4 linked regions of the Macaca fascicularis genome follow. The protein of the gene in region 1 interacts with the protein of each later gene in a pairwise test. Links are inferred from orthologs where the notes say so. Each region holds a gene or a part of one and is shown in the gene's direction. Other genes may lie near its edges.

What was found.
Region 2: the proteins of AP1G1 (region 1) and AP1B1 interact in a two-hybrid assay, tested with the Homo sapiens proteins (2 studies listed by BioGRID, with this or other methods). The link is inferred for Macaca fascicularis from reciprocal best matches to the Homo sapiens genes AP1G1 and AP1B1.
Region 3: the proteins of AP1G1 (region 1) and AP1S2 interact in binary tests that used the Homo sapiens proteins (3 or more experiments, as listed by UniProt). The link is inferred for Macaca fascicularis from reciprocal best matches to the Homo sapiens genes AP1G1 and AP1S2.
Region 4: the proteins of AP1G1 (region 1) and UBL7 interact in binary tests that used the Homo sapiens proteins (3 or more experiments, as listed by UniProt). The two-hybrid records come from large-scale screens. The link is inferred for Macaca fascicularis from reciprocal best matches to the Homo sapiens genes AP1G1 and UBL7.

What each region holds. Positions count from the first base shown.
Region 1 is NC_088394.1:68,621,675-68,629,418, forward strand, and holds part of AP1G1 (AP-1 complex subunit gamma-1), read left to right. Parts: intron 1-827; coding exon 828-950; intron 951-1,179; coding exon 1,180-1,269; intron 1,270-2,500; coding exon 2,501-2,628; intron 2,629-4,786; coding exon 4,787-4,891; intron 4,892-5,864; coding exon 5,865-6,006; intron 6,007-6,203; coding exon 6,204-6,330; intron 6,331-7,744. UniProt on the Homo sapiens protein: Subunit of clathrin-associated adaptor protein complex 1 that plays a role in protein sorting in the late-Golgi/trans-Golgi network (TGN) and/or endosomes.
Region 2 is NC_088384.1:22,326,175-22,333,918, forward strand, and holds part of AP1B1 (AP-1 complex subunit beta-1), read left to right. Parts: intron 1-4,794; coding exon 4,795-4,893; intron 4,894-5,402; coding exon 5,403-5,662; intron 5,663-6,308; coding exon 6,309-6,510; intron 6,511-7,405; coding exon 7,406-7,426; intron 7,427-7,744. UniProt on the Homo sapiens protein: Subunit of clathrin-associated adaptor protein complex 1 that plays a role in protein sorting in the late-Golgi/trans-Golgi network (TGN) and/or endosomes.
Region 3 is NC_088395.1:15,671,196-15,679,377, reverse strand, and holds the start of AP1S2 (AP-1 complex subunit sigma-2), read left to right. Parts: upstream 1-2,609; 5' UTR 2,610-2,759; intron 2,760-2,903; exon of another isoform or gene 2,904-3,155; intron 3,156-4,911; coding exon 4,912-5,090; intron 5,091-8,182. UniProt on the Homo sapiens protein: Subunit of clathrin-associated adaptor protein complex 1 that plays a role in protein sorting in the late-Golgi/trans-Golgi network (TGN) and/or endosomes.
Region 4 is NC_088381.1:51,561,338-51,569,081, reverse strand, and holds part of UBL7 (ubiquitin-like protein 7), read left to right. Parts: intron 1-548; 5' UTR 549-577; coding exon 578-761; intron 762-2,629; coding exon 2,630-2,749; intron 2,750-6,633; coding exon 6,634-6,716; intron 6,717-7,497; coding exon 7,498-7,582; intron 7,583-7,744.

The sequences.
Region 1 (7,744 bases):
GGACTGGTCTCAGTCTTATAAATTAAATCTGTTGTTCTATTTAGGAATGGGAGATTGACCAAGGTTGGGTGATAAAGTTTTAAACCTTTACATCATCATCATCATCATTAGTAGTAGTAGTAGTAGTAGTAGTAGTAGTAGTAGTAGTAGTAGTAGTGATGGAGTCTTGTTGTGTGGCCCAGGCTTGTGTCAAACTCCTGGCCTCAAGCAGTCCTCTTGCTTCAGCCTCCCAAAGTGCTGGGATTACAGGTGTGAGCCATTGTGCCCAGCCTTGCTTTTAATTTGGACAAAGAGAAAATTTTTAAAAATAAAATTTAAAAATTTAACATATTTAAGTAAGACTTTGAAGTTTGAGCTGTTATGAACCTGAGAATTGGAACCAAATTTATCTTTAGGGTGTTTTGTAGAATTCTTCTTTTAAAAGCAACAATAATAGCTGGGCACAGTGGCACACGCCTGTAATCCCAGCACTTTGGGAGGCCAAGGCAGGTAGATCATCTGAGGTCAGGAGTTCGAGACCAGCCTGACCAACATGGTGAAACCCCATCTCTACTAAAAATAGAAAAATTAGCCAGGCATGGTGGCGTGCACCTGTAGTCCCAGCTATTTGGGAGGCTGAGGCATGAGAATCACTTGAACCTGGGAGGTGGAGGTTGCAGTGAGCCAAGATCGCGCTTTTGTACTCCAGCCTGGGTGACAGAGCGAGACTCTGTCTCAAAAAAAGAAAGAAAGAAAGAAAAAAGAAACACACAGTAATAATAATAGCTAACACTTGTTATCATCACTGCTGTGTGTTTCTAGGGGTAATTGTCTGCATTTCCTTTTAGGCAGGAAGTTATGTTCGTGATGATGCAGTCCCCAATTTAATCCAGTTAATAACTAACAGTGTGGAGATGCATGCCTATACTGTCCAGCGCCTGTACAAAGCAATTCTTGGTGATTATTCTCAAGTAAGTACTTCATTCAGCTATTTTAGCTAAGGGATAATTTTACTCTCAAATTTTCTGGTATATTTTTCTTCTTTTTTTTTCCCCTCCTCTCTCCCCTTTGGTATGTCTTTATTTCTAATACTCTAGATATGCACAGTTTTGATCTTTATTATGAGATGACCTATTATTTGCATTAAATGACTTTGGAAAAATTGAAGTCCTTGAGAAATGTTGACTTTTCTTTTCACAGCAACCTTTGGTACAAGTGGCTGCATGGTGTATAGGTGAATATGGTGATCTTCTTGTATCTGGCCAGTGTGAAGAGGAAGAGCCTATTCAGGTACTCCTTGTCACTCTTGGTTAAGTGGGGGAAAATAGTGGTTTTGGTTATAGGAGAGTAGTGTTTAATGGGGAGTTGAGGTTGATTCCTTGAAAACTTTTTAGGCCAGGTGTGGTGGCTCATGCCCATAATCCCAGCACTTTGGGAGGCTGAGATGGAAGCATTGCTTGAGCCCAGGAGTTTGAGACCAGCCTGGGCAACATGGTGAAACTCTGTCTCTACAAAAGACACAAATATTAGCCAGGTATGATGGTATCTAGTCCTAGCTACTCAGGAGTGAGACCCTGTCTCAAAATATTTTAAAAAATATCCAACTTTTCAAAGAATCGAACTAGAATTATATTGGAAAACCTGCCAATTTTTGAAACGGAACTTATTGAGCCATTGTGAGATTTTTTTTTTTTTTTTTTAAAAGACAGAGTCTCACTCTGTCACCCAAGCTGGAGTTCCGTGGCAGGATCACAACTCACTGCAGCCTTAATCTCCTGGGTTTCAAGCGATCTTCCCACCTCAGCCTCCTGAGTAGCTGGTACTATAGGCATTCACCACCATGCCTGGCTGATTCTACTTTTTATAGAGACAGGATTTCACCATGTTGCCCAGGCTGGTCTTGAACACCTGGACTCAAGCAGTCTGCCTGCCTTGGCCTCTCAAAGTGTTGAGATTGACAGACGTGAGCTACTTTGCCCGGCCCCATTGTAAGATTTTAAAACCACTTTAGACCCAACTCTCTGTCCTAGTGGACTGAATTAATTGTTTCTCTTACCTTCTGGCTGATAAACAGGAAGAAATGAGACATGTGTCTATGTTCTTATTGGCACATTAAAGGACTGGCTTTAAAAGGGAAAATTTTTAAATTTTCCTTTAAAAAAGGAAAATTTTAAAATTGCCCTTTTAAAAGGCAACAGCACTTAAACTCTGTATGTTTTTCTTTTCTTCTTCTGTTTCTGCCACTTGAAGTTCTAATATTGCTTCTTAGCCCCAATGGTCATTTTTCACTCTTTTTACCCTCACCTGCTGTAGTTGATAGAACCAGAGCACTTTTTTTACCCCCATCTACTCTGTTAATAGAACACCTTGGACAGTTACCCTAGTAAAGCACATGTTGAGTTAGAGGCTTTTGTAATGGTAGGATTGTCTTTCTGGCTGCATCCACTGACTTAATACCAGATTTAGATGCCTAATCATGCTACTCATTCTTCATTGTCTTCTTTTTCCTCCTCCTCCTCAGGTAACAGAGGATGAAGTATTGGATATTTTAGAAAGTGTCCTAATCTCTAATATGTCCACCTCTGTGACACGAGGTTATGCCCTCACTGCCATTATGAAGCTTTCTACTCGATTCACTTGTACTGTAAAGTGAGTATTGAAGAAACACAGGGTGAACAGGTTTTGTAATTAAAAACAAAACAACAAAAAAAACTTGACATCCTGGAAATTTTCAAGCATAACAAAAGTAGAGGGAATAATAACACAAATTTGCATTACTTATTTCTCAACAGTCACAATGATCAATTAATAGTTAATCTTTATTCATCAGCACTTTGTTCCCTCTCATTCTTTTACTCCCTTGTGGATTATTTTGAAGCAAAAAAGTTAGGGAGTTTTGTTTGTTTGTTTGTTTGTTTGTTGAGACAGGGTCTCGCTCTCTTACCCAGGATGGAGTGCAGTGGTGCCATCATAGTTTACTGCAACCTTGAACTCCTGGGCTTAAGGGATCTTCCTGTCTCAGCCTCCCGAGGAGCTGGGACTACAGGTGCACACAATTGTGCCTGGCTAATTTTTAAATTTTTTTTTTTTTTTTTTGAGACAGAGTCTCGCTCTGTCACCCAGGCTGGAGCGCAGTGGCCGGATCTCGGCTCACTGCAAGCTCCGCCTGCCTCCCGGGTTTACGCCATTCTCCTGCCTCAGCCTCCCGAGTAGCTGGGACTACAGGCGCCCGCCACCTCGCCCGGCTAGTTTTTTGTATTTTTCTTTTTAGTAGAGACGGGGTTTCACCATGTTAGCCAGGATGGTCTCTATCTCCTGACCTCGTGATCCACCCGTCTCGGCCTACCAAAGTGCTGGGATTACAGGCTTGAGCCACCGCGCCCGGCCAATTTTTTTGTAGAGAAAAAATTTTTAAATGTTTTTGTTTGTTGCCCAGGCTGGTCTTGAACTCTTAGGCTCAAGCGATTCTCCTGCCCTGGCCTCCCAAAGTGCGGGGATTACAGATGTGACCCACTCCACCTGGCCTAAAAGTTATGTTTTTAGAATGAGATTTCTAATAACCTTTTTTTTTCTTTTTAAGTTGAGAATCTACTTCTCCACATAAAGGTTTTGGTTTATTTGTATTTTATATTTCATTTTGTTTGATGACAGTTTGCTCTGTTGCCCAGGCTGGAATGCAGTGGCATACGATCTCGACTCACTGCAACCTCCACCTCCAGGGTTCTAGCAATTCTCCTGCCTTAGCCTCCCGAGTAGCTGGGATTACAGGTGCGCACCACCACGCCTGGCTAATTTTTGTATTTTTTGGTGGAGATGGGGTTTCACCATTTTGGCCAGACTGGTCTCGAACTCCTGACCTTGTAATCTGGCCAAGGTTTTGGTTTTTTTTTTTTTTTTTTTTGAGACGGAGTCTCGCTCTGTCGCCTAGGCTGGAGTGCAGTGGCCGGATCTCAGCTCATTGCAAGCTCTGCCTCCCGGGTTCACGCCATTCTCCTGCCTCAGCCTCCCGAGTAGCTGGGACTACAGGCGCCCGCCACCTTGCCCAGCTAGTTTTTTGTATTTCTTAATAGAGACGGGGTTTCACCGTGTTAGCCAGGATGGTTTCGATCTCCTGACCTCGTGATTCGCCCGTCTCGGCCTCCCAAAGTGCTGGGATTAGGTTTTGGTTTTTTATATTTTGACATGTCTTAATAGGAATACAATCATGAATGTTTTGGTGATTAAATATTTTAATTCTTCTCTTTGCTATTTTGAATAAAGTAGATTCTCAGGTCAGTTTCCCATATTTAAGGCAAACTTAGTTCTTGTAGTCTTTCTGCTTTACTTTTAAATGTGAAGTCTTATAAAAAATGGTATTGAATTACTTTTAAAATTCTGAACTGGAAGAATGTGGGGTCAACATTTTGATGCTCTGACCCTTTTATAGATTAAAAATTATTTTAAAATTATCAAAGAAGAGAATGAACAGTACAGATTTTTTTTTGTGGCAAAGTAATAGTTGGTACTTTTGTCTAGCAAAGTTTAGGGAGTGGCATATATATAGGTTTTTTCCACACCATCATTGCTGCAGAATGGGGGCGGCATGTTTAATGGACAAAAATCTAGTGTTGCAATGAGAATAGTACAATGTGAATGTCAGATAAATGGATGAAAATGAAGTGTTTTGTTTTTGAAAAATTATATAAATTAAGAAAAGATGAGTATTTCAGTATTATAACCAGAAAATTCTGGCTTATTAAACATTATCTCTGCTTATTTGTGAATTTTCTTTTGGTTATTTGATTTTGTTTGTCATTTTATCCTATAGCCGAATTAAGAAAGTGGTTTCCATCTATGGAAGCAGCATTGATGTGGAACTCCAGCAGAGGGCAGTAGAATATAATGCACTTTTCAAGAAATATGACCACATGAGGTGAGCGAAAGAAACTAAGTAATGCGTGTATATCTTAGTATCCTGGCTAAATTGTCATGGTAATTCATAAAGAAGATTCATTCCTTGTGCTTTATTAATTGGTCCTCATATCCCTATTTAGTTCTAATTGCTTGACTGCTTCTGTTTTGTCCGTCTTCTGTTCTGCCTAGTCTCTAAAGAAATAAATTAACTCCCTTCTTTCATTCCACCTCCAACCCTTACATTTTTTTGGTATGGAAATTTTGCTTTATTTTCTATTTTATTTAGTTAAGAAGTGGGAGGCCGGGTGTGGTGGCTCACGCCTGTAATTCCAGCACTTTGGGAGGCCAACGTGGGCAGATCACGAGGTCAAGAGATTGAGACTGTCCTGGCTAACATGGTGAAACCCCATCTCTACTAAAAATACAAAAAAATTAGTTGGGCGTGGTGGCGCATGCCTGTAGTCCCAGCTACTCGGGAGGCTGAGGCAGCAGAATCATTTGAACCTGGGAAGTGGATGTTGCAATGAGCCAAGATCATGCCACTGCACTCCAGCCTGACGACAGAGTGAGACTCTGTCTCAAAAAAAAAAAAAGTAGGAGTTGTATTTTTTCAAGACAAATAATCTCATTCAAATTCCATTACTGTTAACATTTTAGTGTTTGTCATCTTGTTTTCTTCTATTATGCAGTATCTTCTTGACTGTTAATACCTATGGATTTACCTTTCTTTCATCTCAATCTCCCTACCACTGAAATATATGCTTTGGGATTTAGCTGGACAGTCTGTTTATTCAAGATTTTTTTGTCTGCCCTTAATCCAGCCAGGAATTTAGGTCATGTATTCTTGTAATCTACCTTCTATTTTAGTGTGTGTGTTGGATGGGGAGGGGAGATGGAGCTCCATGCTTGGGCTCAACATAGTTAATGGTGATTATTTTGGGTGGGGAATCTAGGTTAACTGCCTAGAATTTAACCACTTCAGATTCTTCTAGGTCTGCTCTACTTGAGAGAATGCCTGTCATGGAAAAAGTGACCACAAATGGCCCTACTGAGATTGTGCAGACAAATGGAGAGACAGAACCAGCTCCACTAGAGACCAAACCGCCACCCTCTGGGCCACAGCCCACCAGCCAGGTAGCCAGCCTTTCACTTGCTCATCTGGGGCTTCTTATGATTTTATAGTCCCTTATAGCTTGTCTCTTAGCTGAGTCCTTTTAATGTTCCTGGGTTGGTTGATGATTTCCTTCCTTATTTTTACATATTGAAAGAGCTTTGCTTTAGATGTAAACTAGACAAATAATAATGAATTGAGGTGTTGTTACCTTGTTTAGGCCAATGATTTATTGGATTTGTTGGGAGGAAATGACATAACACCTGTTATTCCAACTGCACCTACAAGCAAACCATCTTCTGCTGGTGGAGAACTTCTTGATTTGCTGGGAGACATCAACCTTACAGGTGAGGCCAGTCTGGAGCTATTTAATACCTGGGAAAAGATAGAGGCCTTGGAGAAAAACTAAACTGAACCCAGACTTTCCAGCATGTGAATCATTTGAAGATGGGAGAGGCTAAATGAGAAGCAAGAATCAAATCTTCACAATATCCGGGTTATACGTTGTCATGCTAATGCTCTTAAGATAATTTATAGGGATTTCTTAAAGGCAAACTTCTAATTTGGGGTGAATAAATTATTCATAGTTTTTTAAGATAGAAACTACTTTCCCTGGCCGGGCACAGTGGCTCACGCCTGTAATCCCAGCACTTCGGGAGGCCGAGGCAGGCAGATCACCTGAGGTCAGGAGTTCCAGACCAGCCTGGCCAACATGGTGAAAGCTGTCTTTATTAAAAATACAACAATTAGCCGGGTGAGTTGGTGCATACCTATAATCCCAGCTACTCCGGAGGTTGAGGCAGGAGAATTGCTTGAACCTGAGAGATGGAGGTTGCAGTAAGCCGAGATTGCACCACTGTGTACTGCAGCCTGGATGACAGAGCAAGACTCTGTCTCCAAAAAAAAAAACTACTTTCCCTTTCAAGCTCAAAAAATATATCCTGTATCACCTTTGCTTTTAGTGTCCCAAGACATGACTTCTTCTTGGTGTCTTCCCACTCATGGTTAGTTTTCAGTAGCTGTGACCATTTGTGGAGAGATGTTAACCTACTGCCTACCTTTTATCTTACTTCCCTTCCACACTTTCTGTAATTAAAGCAACTGAAGGAGCAATCACTCATAATATTGAAACATAACTTTTCATTTGGGAATATTTTTTCTTTTGTTCATATATAACATTCATTTGTAATCGACATGTTCAGCAATATGATAAACCCGAGTCCAATACAACTTTTTTTTTATTTTTAGTTTGAGATGGAGTCTTGCTCTGTTGCGCAGGCTGGAGTGCAGTGGTGCGATCTTGGCTCACTGCAAACTCCACCTCCTGGGTTCAAGCGATTCTCCTGCCTCAGCCTCCTGAGTAGCTGGGATCACAGGCGCGCACCACCGTGCCCTCCCTAATTTTCGTATTTTTAGTAGCAGTGGGGTTTCTCCATCTTGGTCAGGCTGTTCCCGAACTCCTGACCTCATGATCCACCTGCCTCGGCCTCCCAAAGTGCTGGAATTACCGACGTGAGCCACTTTGCTCGGCCTTTTTATATTTTGAGACAATCTCACTCTGTCAGCTAGACTGAAGTGCAGTGGCGTGATCTCAGCTCACTGCAGCCTCTGCCACCCGGGTTCAAGCAGTTCTCCTGCCTTAGCCTCCTGAATAGCTGGGATTACAGGTGCCTGCTACTGCGCCTGGCTAATTTTTGTAGTTTTAGTAGAGACAGGGTTTCACCATCTAGGCCAGGCTGGTCCCAACCTCGTGGTCCACCC
Region 2 (7,744 bases), on another chromosome or scaffold:
ATCCCTTTAACTCTGAGCCTCAGTTTCTTCATTTGTAAAATGAGAATCATTAGATCTTCCCTCATCCTCTTGCTACAAAAGTGAAATTAGGATGCTTGGTATAATGTCCTTAACACATGCCCAGCCCATAATAAACACTCATTCATGGTAGTGTTGGTTTGGGCCAAATTGGTTTCAAAAGCAAACTAGTCCAGGCCAAAAAGGGGAGCAACTGGTTCCAGTAGCCGGCAAGTGTGGGTAGCACGCTGCCTTCTGGGACTCCTGGCTGAGGGTGCTTGGATGGTGGCATTGAGCTACCTTCTGCCGTGGGTAGGCTCCCAGGAGTGGGAGCTGTAAGGAGTCAGCACTTCCAGGCTATGTCCTTACGGCACAATAACCCCCATGGAAAGAATTTTTCCCCTTCCCTCAGTAGTTCCAGCAAAAGTCCCAGGACCTATTTGCATTATCCTGAGCCAGGCACTGTGACTCTGGTTGGCGAGGTCTCTCAGGCACTGATCCCAGTCTGTGTGGACTGAAAGGGACAGAAAGAAGGGTGAGGCTCTGAAGGAAAGCCAGTGTTTCTGTTCCCAGAAGACAGAATAGATGCTGGGTGAGCAAAAACAACAGATGTCCATCCCAGAATCACAGTACTAATTCCCACCGTCACCCCCCCACCGCCACCTGCTTCCAGACTGCCTTTGCTTGCAATACCAGCCTCTTCCCGGTGTCTCAGAAGCAAAGCCTGCCTATTCTGGATTCTGCTCCTGCAGGCAAGTCCTGCCTGGGATCACTGCGAGGATGTCCTGTAGGGCAGGGATCCCCAACCCCCCGGGCCACGGCGCAGTACCCGGTACTACCATGGCCTGTAAGGAACTGGGCTGCACAGCGGGAGATGAGTGGCAGGCAAGCAAGCATTACTGCCTCAGCTCCGCCTCCTGTCAGATCAGTGTCGGCATCAGATTCTCAAAGGAGCGCAAACCCTATTATGAACTGCACAGGTGAAGGATCTAGGTTGTGCGTTCCTTATGAGAACCTAATGCCTGATGATCTGAGGTGGAGCAATTTTATCCCAAAACCATCCCCCCACCCTCGTACCCCATGTGTGGAAAAATTGTCTTCCACAAAACTGGTCCCTGGTGCCACAAAGGCTGGGAACCGCTGCTGTAGGGGTGTGCTTCTGCCCCTGTCATAGAGTCAATCTTTTGCAGCTAAGCCTGCTAAAAAGCCAGGATGAGAGAAGCTGGACAGGGAGAGGTAAGCCAAGAGTCTGGTGGTGTGAACAGAAACAGAGCTCTGAAGTGAACAGAAACAGAACTCTGAAGTGTGAGATCCAGCCTCCTCCCTGTGGTGTGGCCTGGCGCACAGTTACGTGAACTCAGCAAAGCCACTTCCTTGTCTCCAGTGCAGTTATTGCAAAGACTGCTGGACATTGTGTGTAAAGTGCCCGCTCCAGCACTCAGTTTAATGGTAGCTGTGGGGGTGTGATGTAATTCAGTAGCCTGTTCACTTTGCATCTTTTGTTCACAACACAGTTCAAAGCTGTTTTAAGAATACTTGTTAGGGCCAGACACGGTGGTTTACACCTGTAATCCCAGCACTTTGGGAGGCCGAGGCGGGTGGATCACTTGAGGTCTCGAGTTCGAGACCAGCCTGACCAAGATAGTGAAACCCCATCTCTATTAAAATACTGCGCGCCTGTAATCCCAGCTACTCAGGAGGCTGAGGCAGGAGAATCGCTTGAACCCAGGAGGCGGAGGTTGCAGTGAGCCGAGATCATGCAACTGCACTCCAGCCTGGGCAACAGACCAAGGCTCCATCTCAGAAAAAAGGAAAAAAAAGAAAACTTGTTAACTGGGTGCAGCAGCTCACTCCTGTAACCCCAGCACTTCGGGAGGCCGAGGCAGGAGGATCTTTTGAATCCAGGAGTTCGAGGCCAAGCTAGGCGACAGTGAGACCTCATCTCTATAAAAAAAATTAGCTGGGTGTAGTGGCACCCACCTGTGGTCCCAGCTACTTGGGAGGCCTAGGTGGGAGGATCGCTTAAGCCCGGGAGGTTGAGGCTGCAGTGAGCCAAGATCATACCAGTGCACTCCAGCCTGGGCAGCAGAGCGAGACCTTGTCTCAAAAAAAAAGAACACTTGTTGAGTGCTTGACGATTTGGAGTTTTTTGTTTGTTTGTTTTAGCGACGGACTCTCACTATGTTTTGCCCAGGCTAGCCTTGAACTCCTGGGCTCAAAGGATTCTGAGTAGCTAGGACTATGGGCCTGCACCACTGCACCAGGCTTGACAATTATGGAACTCATTTTACATTGTCTTGTTGAATCTTCTCATCCTTGGCTCCTAGGCCTCTCTAGCCATGGACAGCAGACTTAGAAAGTCTTGGTCAGCAGTTGGGCATGGTGGCTCATGCCTGTAATCCCAGCACTTTGGGAGGCCGAGGTGGGTGGATCACTTGAGGTCAGGAGTTCGAGACCAGCCTGGCCAACATGGTAAAACTCATCTCCACTAAAAACACAAAAATTAGCCGGGTGTGGTGGTGTGTGCCTGTAATCCTAGCTGCTCAGGAGGCTGAGGCAGGAAAGTCACTTGAACCCAGGAGGCAGAGGTTGCAGTGAGTTGAGATCACCCCGTTGCACTCCAGCTTAGGCAGGAAAGTGAGACTGCGTCTCAAAAAAAAAAAAAAAAATCTTGGCCAGGGTGGTATATCAGCCCAGCCTGCATCTGGCCCTGTCCTGCCATCCCATTCTGTCTGGATAGCAGAAGTAATGGCATCATTTCAGGAAGGGTGCCCTAAATATGCAGGCTAACAGCCTGAGTGTGTTGAGAGGAACTGGAATGGATTGTTGAGCCAGGGCCCTGGGCACCTGGCCAGACCACCCTCTGGCAGTACAGCCTGAGGCATACCTGACCGGAACCACAGCAGAGCTGACAGTGATGAATCATTCCAGGCATCCAGCTGACTGGGTTGGGGAGAACTTTTTCAAGAGTCCCTGTGTGATGGTAGTGGTGATAATGACTGTGATGATGACAGCTGTTCCTTAGCAGAATACACAATGCTTTTTTACTGTTTTGTTTTGTTTTTTTGAGACAAAGTCTCACTCTTGTCCCCCATGCTGGAATGCAGTGGTGTGATCTCAGCTCACTGCAACCTCCGCCTCCCGGGTTCAAACAATTCTCCTGCCTCAGCCTCCCAAGTAGCTGGGACTACAGGCGCCCGCCACCATGCCTGGCTAATTTTTGTATTTTTAGTAGAGACAGGGTTTCACCATGTTGGCCAGGCTGGTCTTGAACTCCTGACTTCAGGTGATCCGCCTGCCTTGGCCTCCCAAAGTGCTGGGATTACAGGTGTGAGCCCCCGCGCCCGGCCGCTTCTTTTCATTTGTGGTCTCATCAACTCTCCATTAACTCTGTGAGATTTAATGACTGCTTTATAGATTAGGAAACTGACTCAGAGAAGCTAAATGACTTGCCCAGGGTCACCCAGCTGAGAAGTCATAGAACTGGAGTTCAAATAAGGTGTGATCTGACTCCACCTCCAAGCAAACTGCCTTAAGTTGCCATTTTTAAAGCTCACAAGAATCCTGAAGTAGGCCACACCTCTCCTTTACAGATGAGGGTAAATGGCTTCCCATTGGCTACCCAGGCAGGGGCTAGAGTCTGGAAGCCAGATGCTGGGCTGCCTCCTGCCTCGGAAACAGCCAGCCTACTGCTCCTCTGCTGCTGGCCCACATGTAACCAAATTGCAAAGACTCCGCTTCGTCCCAGAATTGGAGGACCACATGCCCTCTGTTCCGCCTGCTGCTGTCAGCCTTCCCCACACAAGTGCACTCCTACTGGGCAGGCGTCAGAGATGCTGCCAGCACGGCTGCTGCTGGGCTTCCTGCACTGCCACTCCTGCCCTCCTGCTGCAGACCTGTCCCTGGCACAGCCCATGGGCTCCCACTGCCCCCGACTCCAGGAGCCTCAGGCTGCCCCCTTGTCCTAGGACTAGCAAAAATGAGACCGTGACTAAGGAAGGACTATATGCAAAGACTTGTTCTCGCATAGATGTTTCTTCGGTCAGCAAGTATTTCTTAAGTGCCTGCTCTACACCAGGCACTAGATTGGGCAGTAATTAGTGACACGACAGTAAGCAAGACAGACATCTCTCCAGCCCACAGGGAGCTCACTGCACAGGACAGCCAGCAACTGGTGGTGCTGTGAGGGGATGGAAGAGGCTGCAGAAGCATGGGGGGTCTGAAGGTGGGGTTGGCATGAGATCTGAAGGGTAAGGATGGTTGGCCAGGATGAGGGCAGCTTTGGGTATGTCCAGGTATGCAGCAGGGGCCAGTGGAGGGCCACCAGGAATGGTTCCCACCCTCTGGTAGAAGCACAGGTTCTTGATGGCAGGCTCTGTGGGCCCTGCTGCCCCAGTCCCCTGGGACTCCATGGGACTGTCGCCACTTGTTGACAGGTAGTCCCAATAAGAAGCATACCAGCCACACGTGAGCTTCTCATAGTCCTGTGAAGTCTAGAGCTCCAACAGGTTTCTAGAACCCTAGGGCTGGGCAGCGGCCCCTGGCCTGCTTGGGTTTGCCGAATAGTCCAGTGCTCAGCTCCTTCCTGAGTGAGTGATGCCAAAGTCTGGCTGCTCAGCGGCACCAACACCTGTGGTGGCCCTTTGCGTGTGTGCCGTGACAGCCCCAAACCTAGAAGAGCTGTGTTTGGCTTCCAGGGACTTTGAACACCCTTTTCCTCTTCAAGCCTTTTTAGTCTCCCGCTGTCCCCATGTGAGGCCCACCTTCCTCCTCGCCACCGCTGTTCCCTCCCTGCAGGTCCAGCTGCAGCTGCTGACAGGCATCGTGAAACTCTTTCTGAAGAAGCCAACAGAGACCCAGGAGCTGGTGCAGCAGGTCCTCAGTTTGGCCACTCAGGTGGGTGCCCCAACCGCCCCACTGTGCCCAGCACAACCCTCACTCAAGCAGGGGAACTTTTGTCCCAGGAACTAGACCTGGAAGCCAGGCCCACTCCTGAGACAGGTATCCTGTGGGTGGGACTGGCTTCCAGCCCCAGAGTAACCCAAGCTCCCTGCCTTCAGGGAGCTTAGAACACAAAGTGCAGTGAGGTCAAGTAGTGAAGTTGAGACAAACTAGACAGAGGAGGAGAGCCTGCGGAAGCCTGAGGGTGTGCGTTGGGGGCAGGAAGGGCAGGCCACAGTGGGCAGTTGGGAGTAGAGACAGGCACAGCCAGGCTGGAGTAGAGCACCATGGAGAATGAGCCCGATGCCGGGGTATGGCCCTGTAGGTGGTGTAGGGACAGGCTCATGGGAGTGCTGTCCCCATTGGCCAGCCCTGTGCCACACCTGGCTCATGGCTACAGGAAAACCTCCTCCCTTCTCACCTGGCTGCTCTAAGTTTCACGGGCTTCTCCTCACCCCCACAAGGACTCAGATAACCCGGACCTGCGGGACCGTGGCTACATCTACTGGCGCTTGCTTTCCACGGACCCGGTGGCAGCCAAGGAGGTGGTGTTGGCTGAGAAGCCACTCATCTCTGAAGAGACGGACCTCATCGAGCCCACACTGCTGGACGAGCTTATCTGCTACATCGGCACACTGGCCTCTGTCTACCATAAGCCTCCCAGTGCCTTTGTGGAGGGGGGCCGGGGCGTCGTGCACAAGAGCCTACCACCCCGCACGGCCTCGTGAGTGAGACTGGCCAGTAGGCCTGAGCCTCCACACCTGCTTTCCCAGTTCAGCAGCACAGGCACTCAGGCCTGGTGTGTTGTCCCCTGGCAAGGCCTGAGTCTGAGGAAAACTGACAACCTTTTCTCAGCTATTTATTGTACATGAGGTATTTGCTAGATGACCTCATTCCATCCTAACAACAGCTCTGAGAGCAAATGTCCCCATTCTTCAGGTGGGAACAAGAGACAAGGAGAGCTTGAGGGACTGGTCCAGGATCTCACAACTAGCAGAGCTGGGACTCAGACCGGTTCTGTCTCATTCCAGAGCCCTGTCCGTGCCTCCTCCTCTGCTTTTCCCAGGTGGTTGGTGTGACCTGGTGGCACCATCCTAGGGCACTGGCTTCCAGTTTTCTCCTTGGCATGGGCTGAGGGCTAGAAGCAGGCGGCCCTCTCCCTTCACTCATCCTCAGAGAGGGCCTGAAAGATGGACCTGCTGTGGGAATGGGGAAGCAGTGGGGCCGTGTGGACAGCGCTGTTGGGGACAGGGAGGAGACTCAGTGCCTGTCCTGAGGGAGGCGCCTGGAGGCTGGGGTCTCTTTGACCTTCCTGAGACATCCTGATGCCTCCGCCCTACTGACCTTCTCTCTCTTCTGTGTCCCGGCAGGAGTGAGAGCGCAGAGAGCCCTGAGACAGCCCCTGCCGGAGCACCTCCTGGGGAGCAGCCAGATGTCATCCCCGCCCAGGGCGACCTGCTGGGTGACCTCCTCAACCTGGACCTCGGCCCCCCAGTGAGCGGCCCACCCCTGACCACCTCCTCAGTGCAGATGGGAGCTGTGGACCTTCTTGGCGGTGGCCTTGACAGCCTGGTATGTCATGGGTGTCCTCTGGATGATGTTGATAATGATCCTCAGAGGAGCAGTCACTGAACGCCCCTCCATGCCAGGCACCAGCTGAGTGCCTCAGGTACATTATATTGAGCTCTTACCATTTACCCTCGGAGGTGATTGTGTAGCTCCCTACTTATGATGAGAAAACCAAGGTTTAGAGAGGCCAGGCAGCCTTCCCTCCAAGGTCGCACAGCCCCTGAGTGGCAGACAGGATTCCACTCCCTTGTTGGACCTTCGAGTCCCAGGAGATCCTGGGCAGGGAGGCCCATCCTAGCCCTTGCCCTGATCCTGGCATCATAGTCACCTTTGCCCTGTTAGGCTAGGGTGTTCCTAGCTTTGAGGAATCAGACTTGTGTCCACTTAGCTTCATGCTGCCCCAGCTGGGAACAGAAGCCCAGCCAGGCCTATTTGAGAGGGCATGGGAGGCCGGGGAGAGAGGGGAATGGGAAGACAGTAGGGAGGGGAGTGGTGAGACTAACGTGGGTATCTCCCTGGGGCTTCCTCAGGCAACTGGCAGGGCCAGGTGCTGGGGGTGGCTGAGCCTCTTCATTTGACTGTGCTCGACTCAGGTCCGCACGGTGGCAGCATGGGGGCAGGAGACTGGCAATTAGCGCTGCTAGGGTGAGGCAGGAAGGGCTGTGGTGCAGAACGGGTGCTGGGGTAAATGTGTGGGGTAGTGCCTTTCATAGAGACGGGGTCTGGGCCTCTCATAGGCCCCAACACAGCCTCACACCACTCTCCTCTCGGATGGAGCTACTGTTAACTAATCTCCTCCCTCTTTCCCTTCTCTCTCTTGTTCCTCTGTCTTCCTTCCTGGCTTTTTCTCTCTGCATGTGGCTGCCTGTTCTCTTCACCTGCCTGCTTCTGCTTGGAGATGGGGGATGAGCCTGAAGGGGTATGGTTCAACCCTTGCGTCACCCAGCCTTCATCCTTGCTCCTCCCGAAAGCGCTGGCCCAGCATCCCAAGGGGCGGGTGATGTCAAAGCAGCCCCCGCCGGCTGAGCCCCTGCCTTGGTCCCGCGTCCTGGCAGTCTCTGTCTTGACCAGCTGGCATTCGGCTACCACTAGGCCCCATAGCCATGGATTCTTGCCCAGTCCTCACCACCCCATGACGCGTCACCTTGTCATCCCAGGGATTGCCAGCCCTCAGTCCCACAACCCCTCTCTAATGTCCTGGAGGGAGAGCACCCGTCTGCATAGCAGGTCTCCACCC
Region 3 (8,182 bases), on another chromosome or scaffold:
CTCAAAATTTTATGGTTAGAAGGTAAAGATTTCTATTTTCCCCTCACCTCTTACATTTAGCATAAATGACAGTGAAGCATTTTTTTCAAATCTAAGAAACAAGTATAAAATCTGATTTTTAATTTTTCATGAAACGAATTTTGTATATAATTCTTATATCATTATTAATACCAATAAATCAGGACCATGTGGAAAACAAAAACAGAGGATTAGAAAAGATAACCAATTGACATGACAGATGAAGAAGATACTAGGTGAGAAGAAACATGTATATAACAAAGCCTACCATTGGGAAATTGTGGGAATCAAAGTCAAGCAGTTAATTACTAACAAAGATGGCAACCATGTTTCTTTTGTCTTTCACAGTGAATGCATAATTAGCACTTAATACTAAGACTAGGGAATAAACCATCTATAATCTACTGAAAAAGACCATCTGCTTCTATAAATTTTGTTCTCATACACTTGCCAAAGGAAGAGAACATATTAACAAAATAATGGGCCCTGCACTGGTAATTGCTAGGTTGTTTGCAGTTGTGCTGCTGCTATTAGAATTTAATAAGCCATTCCTTCTGCTAAATTAATAAGCAGCCAAGATTATGTAATAGCTGCTTTCAGCTGCTAATTATTTTTCCCACAATTCCTTCCCCTCCCTACCCCTACCCCCACCTTTTTTTGGCTAGGAGCAGGAAGGGAGACTGCCAGTATGTCATCAGCAAGTCTCCCGTCCTCATTTTCAGAGCCACAGAGCAACATTAGGAGGATAATCAGTTTAAACTTGGAGGTGGCTATCTCAGGAACCTTGAGGATGTAAGTGTTTTGTACAGAAAAAGAGAAAAGCAGCATTTGAATTCAGAGGGCGAGTTTTCATTGTGTAGCATTAGAGCTATCTTTTCACTGGTTAATGGCATCTGTTTCTTGTAGTAAGAGAGAAATGGGACATTTGAAAGTACCTTTGGGGCATGACTGGGTAGGGAGAAATCTGTTGGGGGCGAAAGGAACCTAAAGAACTACAGAAAGTCAGCTCTGTGCCATGTGTCATCCCCTTTCTTTAATATTCCAGTATACATTAATCATACATGTTAGTAGGAGACTTTGCAAGCAGCATAGTAGTGCTTGAAAAGGGGAAGTATTACACATTTTTTTGTTTTGTCATACAAAGGCCTTTTTTAAAATGCCCCCAAAACTACTGTCTTAGTTTCGTAGATACTAAAATGCACACAAAAAGAATATAATTCCTAATAAAGGATTCCTTTACATTGATTACATTTAGCTTCGTGAAAAAATTAGCATTTCTTTTACTTTAGGCCATTAAAAAAATTCTGGCGACTACACCTAGGAACCTTTGCAAAAGGGACATGGCCCAACAAAAGCAATTTTCTCGCTTCCTTTGTAGGAACCTAGGTGACTCGGATAATGAATAGCATGCGATATGGGAAACCCGTGGCTCTTCAAGGAAGGTCACCTAATCCCGTGGGACTCCCCTTTCCTTATCTGTAAATGACTAGATGATTCATCCATTCTATCATTCAGAAAATTACGAACATCCATTATGCCCCGGCATTACGCTCAGCATTACAGCTCTTAACAAATTTATCATTTTATGGTCTTTATCAGTCAACTCACATTTATTGTGTTATACACCAGGCAGTGAACTAGACTGGGATGCAAAATGAATACAACTTAAGGTGTGCTAAATAAAGGCTAACGGGCATGTGGGTGAAAGAGGGAATCGCTCTTACAGGGTTTTAGGGTGAGGCTTCATAGGAGATGTGACATTTGAGAGCAAGGACATGCCAGGCACAGCAAGTCGTCGGCAGTGCTAAACTGGAACCCAGGCGGCTGGTGGGGCGACCCAGTGTGAAGGAAGCGGGATCTCGAAGGTGAGGTGCTGTCCGGGCTTTTCAGCCGAACGGATGGTAACTCCGCAGCACCGAAGATGGGCGAGGCGAGCCCAGGGAACAGACTCCCGCGAAGCTTGGGGCGAAAGGTGTCTGGGCTAGGGCTGGAGCAGTGCAATGGGAAGGAGAGGCCGGATTCCGGACAATTTTGAGGCAGAATGATAGCAAAATGCCCGTGAATGGGTGACGAGCTCCACAGAAGAGCTGACTTGTTTTTCCAGAGTTGCAGCACTCCCTCGTCTCCTCCCATCCTTGTCGTCAGCCGTCACACCTCCCCGACCCACCCTCTGGGGACACAGAGAATCATTAGAGCTCAAACGAGGCTCTTCGCTGTCTGGAACTTCCCGGCCCCGCACCTCCGGCTAGGCTGAGGACGCTGCAGAATCCCGTCCTCCTATCATTAAACAGGCAGCATACCCGCCCGCGCGCGTCCCGGAGGCACCAGCAGGAGTGCGCGGGCGCGCGGGCCCGGCAGACGCCGCTTCCGGGTCACGTGGCCCGGCTTCCGGTTCGCACCACCCCCTCAGCAAAGAAGCCTCCAATCGGCTTCCTTGGATTCAGCGGTTACCTGCGCTGCCTCCGGTGCCGCTGGCAACTGCTGAGCCGCTTCCCGCGCGTCGCCTAGCCCGCCCCTCAGCTCGCCGCAGCCCCGGCTCCTCCCTCGTCCGGCCCCCGGGGCGGGGTCTGTCAGCTCGCCCTCCCCTCTCCGCCTAAGCCTGCCCTCCGCCAGCCGGGTCCCCTCCCCACAGCACCACGGCTTCTCTTCCTCAGCACGGCGACAGGGGCTTCCCCTTAGCCGCCGCCGCCGCCGCCGCCGCCGCCGGCCGAGCTCCGCCGCGCCCGCGGCCCGCGGCCGCCGTAAGTCCCCGGGGACGAAAGGGGGCGCCGGGGATGGAGAGGGGGAGGGAGGGCTGGGCGCGCCCCCCGCCACCCCGAGCGCGCCCCGCGACCCCACCCCGAGCCTGCCCGGCCCGCCACTGGGTCGCCGCGCCTGCAACTCACTTCTCTCAGGGTCCGCGTCCTCCGCACCACTCCGCGCCGCGCCCGGGGATGTGGGGGCCAGTCCCGGGCTCCGCGACAGCCCCGCGGCACCTGTGGTTCGGGAATCGCCTCAAGTTTTGCGGGGCGTTTTCGGGAGGGGCCGGGGGCGGTGGCGGCCGAGGACTCTTGGCGCCCCCTGCGCGGCGGCGGATGCCATTGTCTGCTCCGCTCCTTGCCTGTCACCTCGCCCGGGCTTGGTCAGTGATGGAGTGTGGCCACGGGAGTGGGGGGGAGGCACCGGCGACGGCCGGACCCGAGGAACGCTGGCCCCGAGCCCGCGCCGCGGCTGAGCCCATTGTTTTTAATGCCAATCTCGAGGAATTGTGGTGCCCTGTGATTTGCGGCAAAATCAAAGCGCTGGTTTTTAACACGAGGGAAGGAATACTCGTGCCTTGCAACCGGGTTTCGTCCCATGTTAGGACATAATTTATTTTAAGGAGAATACATTGTTTTTTCGTCCTGCAAAGTGGTAGGGCGGGTACAGGACCCTGCTCCAGACAGCCTTGAGCCCATACTCTTTGCAAGCAAACCCTCACCCTTTCTGGTCACCAAGATCTAGGAATACGAGATCCATTCTTTTCCAAGTTCTGGTAACGGGTTTGCAGTAAACGTCCAGTTGATGCTTCACTTGCTGCTCCCTTCGAATGCCGCTATCTTCAGGACTTGCACGGGAGGCACTTTGGTATCATCTAATAATGTCCTTATATTTTGTTCCCCTGACGCATTTTAAGTGAGGTAATAAGACCATTTTAACTTTACTAAAGTTGAATTGCCACGTCATAAATTTCTAGATATCTTGTTGATACCTTCTTGGGTGGTTATAAAAAACGACGATAATTTCTTACCGAAATTTAGGGCCCATTTTTATTCTACATTGGTTCTGTAAATTTCCCCTCCCCGTCTTCAAATTCAAGATGGTGTGGTGAATCTTGAGAATCATGCTTGAATCTTACTTGCAGTAACGCTGTTAAAGGAACTTACAGTGGTTAAAAGAAAAAAGGATACCTATGTGAATTCTGGCTTTAAATTACCTTTGTAGAAACAATACTTCTGTTTGCAGTTGAGATGACCAATTGAATTACAAAAAGCTTGGGTTAAAAATGAAACATGCAGACTAATCAACACATTTGCGATCACAAATAAATACATACAAATTAGTTTAAGTAATAAAACACACTAGAATTCAGCATCCACTCTATCTGTAGATACTATTTTTTTTAAAATATTTCATGTAATGTTTCAATACTAAATCTTATTTAACAAGTGTAAATCTTATTGTGGCCTTTTAAATGTTTGTTTTCTTTTTCATAATACTACATTAACTCAGTTCTAGATTTTGTACATATTTAAGTTGGAATGTTTTAAAAGTAAGATGAAAACATACTTTTTTATTAAGGAAAATTTGTAGTTATGAGATTTTTCGGTTAATATTTTGGATCATTCTGTTTTGCTTGAAATATGCCATCATAAACCGACGAGAGCATTCTAAGATATAAGCTACTGTCTACAAGTAGTTCACCCTGGAACTAGAACGGCCTCAGGGTGAAAAATAGCAGGTCTTCCGTTTCTTTCAAAAATACCCAAATCAATTGATGTCTACCATTTTCTTTTGATACATATAGAGAGTGCACAATGTATAGCACAGGTAGAAAATAGTTTCTTAAATTGAAAGAGTGGTCTTTATTTTTCTTCAAAAATTTCGCTTCAGCTTATTACAAATTTTTCTTTTTTCTCTTGCACACTCCCCTCCAAACTTAACGTGGAACAGGGTGGGATTGGAAGGTTTGCATCTAGAGAAGATCTGTCCAAAAGAATTTCTTGCTATTTTAATTGGCATAGAAATATTGATGGCTAGTAATCATTTGTCATTTAAATGCCCCATCCCCCAAAGCTTCTCTGTGAAACACATAATCTTAACTTTATTGATTCAAAGTATTACATGTAATCTTGATTTTATTTATCTTAACAGATGCAGTTTATGTTGCTTTTTAGTCGTCAGGGAAAGCTTCGACTGCAAAAATGGTATGTCCCACTATCAGACAAAGAGAAGAAAAAGATCACAAGAGAACTTGTTCAGACCGTTTTAGCACGGAAACCTAAAATGTGCAGCTTCCTTGAGTGGCGAGATCTGAAGATTGTTTACAAAAGGTATAATTTTTATTTATCATAAAGGTGAAATAGAATCAAATGTTAGGTCATTTAGGAAATTGCAGACTTTTGAGTGATGACATTTCTAAATAATGATTAATAAAGATTTAGATGAAATAGGTTTAAGGTAAAGCTTTGTGTTTTTAAAATAACTGGTGTTTTCACTGGTAATTACTGAGGCTGGAATGATAAAGGCAGGGAAATCATTTGAAAACTAGTTATATAATTGAAGGCATAAATGATTATTCATGCTTAATCATCTTTATAGAAGAGTTTAATGAATTCATTTCATTGCAGGGGAAAGTAGGGTCAGTATTTTAAATTGTGTGAGTAATTATCTGAATTTAGACAAGTATAGATAGTCTAATCCTTTTTCTCCGAAAATCTATAAAGCAATGACTAATATTTGTCATGCCTTTTATCTGATTTTTAGAATCTTACGTATAAATACCTTGAATATGTAGACTATTTCAATCACATAGCTGTTTTAAAAACTTTATGTGTATAAGAGATCTGTTTGTGAGTAGTGTTTATTAACTTTAAGTACCCTTGTTGCTATGGTGGGGGTGCAGTTAAATATGACAGATAATTTTGCCAAGGACAGGTTTTTTTAAATTTTGATGTTACAAAATGACTCATAGATTGGCTTTTAACACTGAAAATTTTTTTAATGCTATACATCTTTATTTTATAAATATCTGAATCCCTGAATGCCCTAAAATAAATTTCTCAAGATTGTTCTAAGTAGGGTAAAAGAAATAAACTTTCTTCTTTTACAGAACATTTTTTGAGGGGACATTTACTTCATTCCCCATTTGTTTCTTTTTGAATTATTTACTGAATTTAAGATAAGAGCATTTCTGCATATAAAAAGTTCTCTTGTGTGGGGAATATGCATGGAAGTAACAGTATGGGATAAAATGAGGGTGGGAGAGAAGTCTGGTTTTCTTCTCAGCTTCTATTTATTGCACTCCAGATACGGGTTGGATATTTTGTCAGGGAGATGGCTGGGAAGAAATGGAGATGACAAGACATAGAGAGTTTCTTAAATATTGAGGACTCCTCTTTATTATTGAATGATCTTTGGTGATTTAGTATCTTTGTGTGATTTTGTATCCAGTGTTTGGTTTGGTCTTATTAAAGATCATAGAAAAATCATATCATTTGAGAGGTGAGAGATGTTTTACAGTAATCTAGTCAGGTGATTTTGTTCTGTTTTGTTTCGTTTTAAGCTTTTTGCCCCATGGGTAGAACCTTAAATAAAATGACTGGAAGTGAGGCTGCTCCACGTAAAATCAGAAACGGGGATCCTGTATCCTGGCTCACTTGGCCTTTACCCCTCTGCACAGGAGACAGTTCTGAGTTTGAAAACTGCCGTTGTTGATCAAACTTCAATTTTTTAATGAATGCGAATTTGGGAGAGGTGACTTGTCTAGGGCCATATGCCAGTTAGTGATTGACCTGGGGCTGCAACTCAGATCTTAAGCTTGGAGGCAAAGATTTTAAACAGGGCTGGAAAAAGATCAGGTTTACATATCTTAAAAGACTGAACTGGGACAATGGATGAGGGCAGGAGGGGCTGAGACTGGCACCTACAGAATCAGTAGGAGACTATTTGAGATCCTGAACCCATTTGCTGGAAAGGAGGGCTATTACTAAATAGCCATTATCAAATAGGTAGGTTTGATAAGACTTGGTCACCTCTAGAAGTGGGAAGAACATGGGAGGCGGAGGCAGGAGAATCGCTTGAACCCAGGAGTTAAAGCCCAGCCCTGGCAACTTAGTGAGACCCTGCCGTCTCTACAATAAAAACAAACAAACAAACAAAAAAGTTAGCTGGGCATGGTGGCATGCACGTGTAGTCCTAGCTGCTCTGGAGGCTGAGGTGGGAGGATTGATTGTGCCTGGGAATTCAAGGCTGCACTGAGCCCTGATTGGGCCACTGCACTCCAGCCTAGGTGACAGAGTGAGACCCACAACAACAACAACAACAAAAAGTGGAGAGAGCAGCGAAGGAAAGGGAGGAGTGGTGTGACCTCCACATTTCTGGTTTGCTGATGGGGTACAAGGTGAGCTAGAGAACTCAGCTTATTTTGGGGCAGGTTGATTTGGGGATGTCTATGTGACTTTCATTAAGAGAAGCCTGATTTTCTGGTGGGATGTGGTTGGCGTAGTTATGGAAGTCTGGGGAAAATAAGACAAAGTATTAGATCACCAGCATTCAAGTGGCAGGCAAAGGAGGTGAAGAAGGGACCTTCAGAGTGGAATGAGAAGTTTCACCAATGCCAGATGTTGCATAAAGTTCAATGAAAGTGAGGAAGGAATCTGGTAGATTTTACAGTGAGCATTTCATATAATGCCCTTTGCCAGATCATTTTCAGTGGAATAGTGGAGATAGAACTCTCGATGTAATGGGGCGAAGTGTGAAGAGGTGGAGAAATTTAAATAGCATGTGTAGACTATTTTGGGGAACTTAGCTGTGAAGGACAGGAGACGAGGTGGTAACCACTCATAGACATAGGAATAGGGGACAAGGTTTTTAAAAAAGAAGGTGTGAGAGGCTTAAGCTTATTTCTAGATAGGGGAAGGAGTCCCCCGTGTGGAGGAGGAAAATACCAGCAAGGGATTCAATCCCAGGAATGGGCTTTTATGGGAAGAAAGGAAAGCACTGCTTGGTGTTCATGTACATGTCACTCAGCCCGTCCGTCCGTGTTGAGCCACTGCTTTTTCTTTTAAAAGCTACAAAGGGTATCCGACCCAACTCTGATACTTATATCAAGCACCTTTAAATGAAAGGTGGACTTAAAAAAATAACAGCTTTATTGAGATATCAGTCATATATAAAAGGTGGAATTTATCAGCTCTTTCTCTATGTGTTCCCCCTTCCATTTCATACTGAAAACCTCATCTGCTCTACCACTTATGGACATTTTTTTTATTGGTATAAACAGGTGATTTGTTTTCCCTACTGCTGGAAGTGAAGAGCTTTTTAAGCAAGAGAATTACTGCTTAGCTCCTGAGAAATTTTGGACTGGGACTTTTGCTGTTCATATCAGCAAGTGATTTTTGTTGTTTTTGTTAAATTATTCCAT
Region 4 (7,744 bases), on another chromosome or scaffold:
GCTCGTCTCAAACGCCTGAGCTCAGGCAATCCGCCTGTCTAGACCTCCCAAAGTGCTAGGATTACAGGCATGAGTCACTGCGCCCAGCCCAACATTGGAAGAGTTCTAAGCAAAGAAGTGACTTGATCAGATCTGTGTTTTAGAATGATAGGTTGTTAGGTGGCAGCACAGATATTTGATAGGGAGAGGCAAGAGTTAGGGAACTTGTTATAAAGCTGTTCTACTGGTTCAAGCAAGAGTTGAAGAAAATTGGGAAAAGGAGCATACAGAAGGGAGAGGGTTAGATGATCTCTTTCATAACATTCCTATTAGGTTGGATGGCGTTTTTATGTCCACGTTAGGGATGAAGAAACTGAGGCCTAGAGAGCTGTCCATCACAGTATGAGTAGAGAGAGAACCCCAGATTCTAGTTCTGGCCTCCTGATAGTGCACCCTGTGCTTCTTCAACAGTGTCACATTGAATTGTCTTTTATTCAACCCTTTGGTGGGTGGGGGTGGAGTAGGGTGGTGGTCTGTCTTTTAACCACTGAGGCTTTGTTCTTTTACAGGGAGAAAGAGAGAGCGCGAAAGAGAGAGGATGTCTCTCTCAGACTGGCACTTGGCGGTGAAGCTGGCTGACCAGCCACTTGCTCCAAAGTCTATTCTTCGGTTGCCAGAGACAGAACTGGGAGAATACTCGCTTGGGGGCTATAGTATTTCATTTCTGAAGCAGCTTATTGCTGGCAAACTCCAGGAGTCTGTTCCAGACCCTGAGCTGATTGGTGAGTCTCTCTGGAATGGGGTTGGGCTGCTGCTCTGATCTCTTTTAGGGGAGGATACTTCTGAAATTACAAGAGTAAGTAAAGTAAGGGCTTGGGATTTGTTGCCTCATAATGTTAACACTCCAGGGAAGTGAGTGTTGGGTAAATAGAAACACAAATCATATAATGAAACTACTGGTTGCCATTTTCAGCCATGTATTATACTGAAGTACTTTATCACCAGGTTCTTTATGACATTGTCTTATTTTATTTATTTATTTATTATTATTATTTTTTATTTATTTTTTAGACGGAGTCTTGCTCTGTAGCCCAGGCTGGACTGCAGTTTTGCGATTGCGGCTCACTGCAACCTCTGTCTCCCGGGTCCCAGTTCAAGCAATTCTCCTGCCTCAGCCTCCCAAGTAGTTGGGATTACAGACATGTGCCACCATGCCCAGCTAATTTTTATATTTTTAGCAGAGACATGGGGTTTCACCATGTTGGCCAGGCTGGTCTTGAACTCTTGACCTTGTGGTCTGCCCGCTTTGGCCTCTCAAACTGCTGGAATTACAGGCATGAGCCACCGCTCCTGGCCAACATTGTGAATTCTTTTTCTGAAAGAACAGACGTTTGGGGTGAGTTAGGGAAGGAGAAGTTGGTCAGGGGAGGCTCCTCAGTATATTTGAGGTAGGTCTTAAGGGATGATTAGGAGGATTTGCTTGGTTGATTGGTTAAAAGAAAGGCAGTAAAAAAGAAAATGAAAATGGCGTGAGCAGTCCAGGTGGAGGAGGGAGGAATTTAAATATAATTAAATTATACTGGAAAGGTAATTTATAATAGCTAAAGGATCCAACTGGCAAAAAAGATGTTTTCAGTCATACCTGGATTGAGTTCATCCTATTTTGTTGTTTTTCCATTGATTTAAATTGGGCAGTCTCCACAATGTTAAACTCTAGAGCTTCTCTATGGATAGATTCTATGTGAATCCTCTTTTTTTTTTTTTGAGACGGAGTCTCGCTCTGTGACCCAGGCTGGAGTGCAGTGGCACGATCTCAGCTCGTTGTAACCTCTTTCTCCCAGGTTCAGGCAATTTTCCTGCCTCAGCCTCCTGAGTAGCTGAGATTACAGGCACCTTCCACCATGCCTGGCTAATTTTTGTATTTTTGGTAGAGACGAGGTTTCACCATCTTGGCCAGACTGGCCTTGAACTCCTGACCTCAGGTGATCCACCCACCTCGGCCTCCCAAAGTGCTGGGATTACAGGTGTGAGCCACCGTGCCCGGCCCTAATTTTTGTATTTTTAGTAGAGACAGGGTTTCGCCATGTTGGCCAGGCTCCAAAAGTGCTGGGATTATAGGCGTGAGCCACCATATCTGGCCAGATTCTATGTAAGTCCATTTTATGAGTTTATATTTGCAAATAGTTGTTAAAATGTATTTAATTGGCTAGACGTGGTGGCTCACGCCTGTCATCCCAGCACTTTGTGAGGCTAAGGCAGGAGGATCCCTTGAGCCCAGGAGTTAAGAGACTAGTCTGGGCAACATGGCAGAACCCTATCTCTACAAAAAAACTACAAAAATTAGCTGGGTGTGGTGGCATGTGCCCATAGTCCCAGCTACTCAGGAGGCTGAGGCGGGAGAATTGCTTGAGCCCAGGAGGTTGAAGCTGCAGTGAACCGTGATGGTGCCATTGCACTCAAGCCTGGGCAACAGAGTAAGACCCTGTTTAAGGAAAAAAAAAAAAAAGTATTAAGTTATTAAATAAGAGTATCTTTTAAAACATGTATCATTCTCCAGCTATCTATCCAATCAAAATAAGGTTCTCAGGGAACAAAAACTATCTAAATTTGTTTTGAGGAGCAAAATGTAAGTGGACAGTTCTTTTTTTAGATCTGATCTACTGTGGTCGGAAGCTAAAAGATGACCAGACACTTGACTTCTATGGTATTCAACCTGGGTCCACCGTCCATGTTCTGCGAAAGTCCTGGCCCGAACCTGATCAGAAACCAGGTGAGTGAGGGTCAGCCCTTAAGCAGGCAGAGTTTCTGTAATATCTGCAAGGGAAAGGTCTGTGTGTTCTTGAGACACAAGCCTGGGTGGAACAAAGGGATGATTTACTGAGCTGATGATAAATGATATCTTTATTACTTATTGGATTAAACCATGCTGATAAACAGAGTCCAATTTTGACCTTCTTACTGCTGGTATCACTAATGGGAGATTTGTTTCTCCATTTTGTTTTTTGGTTTTTGTTTTTTTTTGAGACAGAGTCTCACTTTGTTGCCCAGGCTGGAGTGCAGTGGCACAATCTTGATCTTGGCTCACTGCAGCCTCCACCTCCCGGGTTCAAGTGATTCTCATGCCTCAGCCTCCTGAGTAGCTGGGATTACAGACATGTGCCACTACGCCCAGCTAATTTTTTTATTTTTAGTAGAGACGGGGTGTCTCCATGTTGGTCAGCCTGGTCTCGAACTCCTGACCCAAGCCATCCGCCCCACCTCAGCCTCCCAAAGTACAGGCACCATTCCTGACTGTTTCTCCACTTTCTAAGTTTGTCATCCACTGTTTCCTAATGGGATAGTGAGTTTGTGTCTACTTAAACTCCTTTAAGTTAACAGTTTATTTTTCAGTGATACAAAGTAAACTTTGTATCCTTTTGTTATTGTTGTTCTCATTAGAAAAAAACTGGAAACTTTTGGCACTTTCCTAATGCCCCAGTTTGTTCCCTTGTTAACAAATCTTCCTACAAACTGCCTCAGGTGGTGATTTGTTCAGTCAGCTAACTGCTCTTGCTATACTGGTAATTTATTTTCCTGAAGCTATTCAAAGAGTATTTAAATAGCTCTTGGAGAAAATATACAAAGCCTCGGATGCCTTTTTGGTTTATAAATAGAAGGTGCTTGGAATTCATGATTTAAATTTTGCATGTGTATTTTAAAAGCCTCCCCAAGAATAAAGCTAAGCTGTGTAAAAGAGATTAGCTTTGTTAAACTGGCAGGTTGACATCTTTTTATAATGTTCATGATTGCTGTGACTAGTTATCAGTTTGAAATTTACCCCCCTTTCAGTTCTAACCGTAAAAGACAAAAATGTCTTTCATACTCTGATGGGAAGTGAGAAAGAGGAACGGAGTTCCTGACATCCAGAGGTTGGCCTGGCACTCACAGCCAGGCCTTGGTGTCCTTTTGGGGAACATGAACAATTGTACAGATCCCCAATATCAGTCAAGGCCACTCTGAGACCACTATGGATTAAGACAAAAACAAGATCCCTATCATTGCTGAACAGAGACAAAAACATGAGCATTATCCAAATCACAAAAGTGACCAAGTATCTTTCTATCTCGGCTGATGAGAGTAATAGCTGCTTCTTTGCCAATTACAGCTTCCACCTTGCTCTAGTTTTCCTTCCTTCTAGGTAAGAGTTATTAAAATACTCAATTATAAAATCACTCCCACTGCCGAAAGCATCCTATCCGGAGTAAAACCTCACTTCTTTAAATTTTTCCGCAAATCACTCAGACAAAGCCAAAATCGTGTAAGAAGTCTTTTCTGGCCGGGCTCAGCGGCTCATGCCTGTAATCCAGCACTTTGGGAGGCCGAGGCGGGCAGATCACCTGAGGTCGGGAGTTCGAGACAAGCCTGACCAACATGGAGAAACCCCGTCTCTACTTAAAATAAAAAATAAGCCGGGCATGGTGGTGCATGCCTGTAATCCCAGCTACTTGAGAGACTGAGGCAGGAGAATCGGTTGAACCCGGGAGGCAGAAGTTGCCATGAGCCGAGATCATGCCATTGTACTCCAGCCTGGGCAACAAGAGCGAAACTCTGTCTCAAAAAAAAAAAAAAAAAAACAAGAAGTCCTTTCTAATATCCTCTTACTGAGACAGCCCATGGTTTCCTATGGTGTTCATTCTTCTCTCTGTACTGAGCAGTACGCCCAACTAGTTTAAATACAGATATGCCCCTCAGCTCTTTGGCTGGAGGGCATTAACAGAAGGAAAATAACATTTGTGGCTTCTGTGAGCCAGGTTTTTTCCCTTTTATACCTCATTTAATCATTACAGTGGCCCTGCAGGGTAGGTAACAGCATTAGCATCTTATGGAGGAAGAAAAGGGTTAGAAAGACATTTATTCAAGGTCAGCTACTTAGAAAGTGAATGCAAGAGCTGGGATATGGACCAGGGGTTTTCCTGGCTCAAGAGGAAAACCATTTCCACTGGGCTGGCTGCCTTCCACTTTCAAAGGATGAATTTAGCTCAGAGGTCTTACAGTGACAGCCATGACTCTTAGCTGAATACTGGCTTAAGATATTAAGAGTCCTTTTCCTCCCACCTTCTACCTGGAGGATTATTTTTGAAACAAATGACCTTTTTATTGGAAGGTTACAATAAACTCTTAGATCTGTGAAGAAACTGTCTTGTGACAGTGTTTTAGATATTTTCTCCTTGAGTGCTTTTCTTCACAAAGGAATCACATTTCGTGTTCTCCTACAGATTAGGGTCTGTAGGAGGAGAACCCATTGTTATCTGTCTTCCCAGCTGGATCCCTTTGGTGGTTCTCCATGGCAGGTTACAAATCCCTTCAGGACCTCACCTTATTAGCCTGCTGTTTGAGCTGGGATGTGTACCCCAAGCTCCAGCCACAAAGAATGACTTGCTGTTTGTTCAAAGCACCACATTCTTTTATTCTTCCATGCCTTTGCACATGTTCTCATTTAGGCTTGGAATACCTTCACCCCCCAGTAAATATCAGCTCTCTCTTTGATACCCATTTCAAATGGTCTCCTCTGGGAGGCAGCTCTCTGTCTTTACCCTCCGTCTCAGTGGTGGCTGTCTGCCTTTGTGTTCCTGGTGCCCTAGCTGGGATCCACATCTCTGTTGAGGTCCTCAGCGTGGCATTTTGTAATTGTGTGTTTGATGTAGTCTCATTTCTCCTACTGCCGTAAGAGTTCCTTGACGGCAGGGGTTCTTATTTTTCACATTCTAGTTCCTTGTCCAAAGTCAGGCATGGAGTAAATGCTTAGTACATGTTTGTTGAATGAATAAATTAGGTAATTTACTTACGGTGACTATTTTTCAAAAGACAGCCTCATGATCAGGACTGTCGATAAGGATGTGGCTGCCACACTGAACCCCAGGGGTGCTATTGACCTTGCTTTGGGAGTGGTGCCCCTGGAGTAGGGCAGTACACAGTCAGTACAGTCACAAGTAGTGGTCCTTCATGAGGATAACCATACTTTAAAAAGTGTGACCCAGGGCGGGGCATGGTGGCTCATGCCTGTAATCCTAGCACTTTGGGAGGCCGAGGCACATGGATCACTTGAGGTCAGGAGTTTGAGACCAGTCTGACCAATATGGTGAAACCCCGTGTCTACTAAAAATACAAAAATTATCCAAGAGTGGATAATTGCACACCTGTAATCCCAGCTACTCGGGAGGCTGAGGCACGAGAGTCGCTTCAACCAGGGAGGTGGAGGTTGCAGTGAGCCGAGACTGCGCCACTGCACTCCGGCCTGGGCAAGAGATGAGACTGTGTCTGAAAAACAAAGGCAAAAACACCAACAACCAAATGTTATTAGTCTGGAATTCCTGCAGTGGGATGTTGATCAGAGCACTGTTTTTCATGTGGTAAGATTCTCCTCTGCCACAACTTGAATTTGTTTGTTTTATCTGTGGAAGATGCTTACAAGAGAACGTAAAGATGCTTACTAGCAGTTTTCACATCCGTGGCACAAATGGGTTTTTCTGAGTGGGCACTCACATTCTTAAGGGGTAATGAGGGAAGGGAATGCACAGACCAGGCTGCTCCTTGGCACATTGAAATGATGTTACCATGTCTGTGGAAGAGACAGGGCCTGTGCTGTAGGGTAACTCTGAGTGTCTTGTCCGCCAGAACCTGTGGACAAAGTGGCTGCCATGAGAGAGTTCCGGGTGCTGCACACTGCCCTGCACAGCAGCTCCTCTTACAGGGAAGCGGTGAGTGTGTGCCACGGCCCCCAGCCAGGACTGTAGGAGAGGGTGTGAACGCTGGCTGGCGAGTGGTGTGGAGTGGGAGCTGGAAGCCTGTTTCCATGACAACCAAGAGTTCCTTGGGGAGTTTTTGCCATGTCTGTGGGCCTCAGTGGAGCCCTGTCTTTCCCCAAAGAGCCTGTCTCAGTCAGGCATTGCTGATTCCCTCTAATGATAACCATACAACCTGCCCATACGGTGACAGCCAAAAGATCCACATACTGTTTCTGCTGGACCTTGTTCTTTGACTTTGGCTGAACTGCCTGCTTATTGCCCCTTGACCTAGTTGTCCTTACTGGGGAAGTGGGCTGATGTCTCTCTGTAGGAGAGTTGAGAGGCAAAATTAGTACAGCTGTGAACTTAGCAATATATACAAATATGAAATAGTAATTGTACAGAGATTGAAAAGGACTTTTGGAACCTAGAGAAACCTTTGTTACTGGGCTTGTAATGAGAGCTTTTATTTTGGAAGCATTAAACTGTAGGTGGGGAAAAGGAGCACAGAGATTTGAAGGTTTACTGTGGTCTTGCCTTTTTTTTTTCTTTTTTTTTTTTTTAATTGTTTGTTTCCCCTCCAGTAAGCTACGATCTTAGACCAAAAAGAGGTTCATCTGTTTCCGGGGCTATTGTTCCATTGTGGTGATGTACATGCAAGCACTTAAAGGGAGGAAGTCCTCAGCACAATGTGGGCATTTGATGAGTGCATTGAGTTGGTTGGAGTGCTCAGCCCTCCCCATTTCTCCTGCAGGTCTTTAAGATGCTCAGCAATAAGGAATCTCTGGATCAGATCATTGTGGCCACCCCAGGCCTCAGCAGTGACCCCATTGCTCTTGGTAAGTGCAGGACTGAATTTGCGGAAATAGGAGTTGTCGGAAAAGAAGAAAACAGGAGAAGACAGTTCTTCTAAAGAGACTTAGACTATCTTTTGAAGAATGACTGGTCTTGTGGGAAGAGGGAGAGTAATCAAGGTGTGTCTGATATACCCAGCGCTTTAA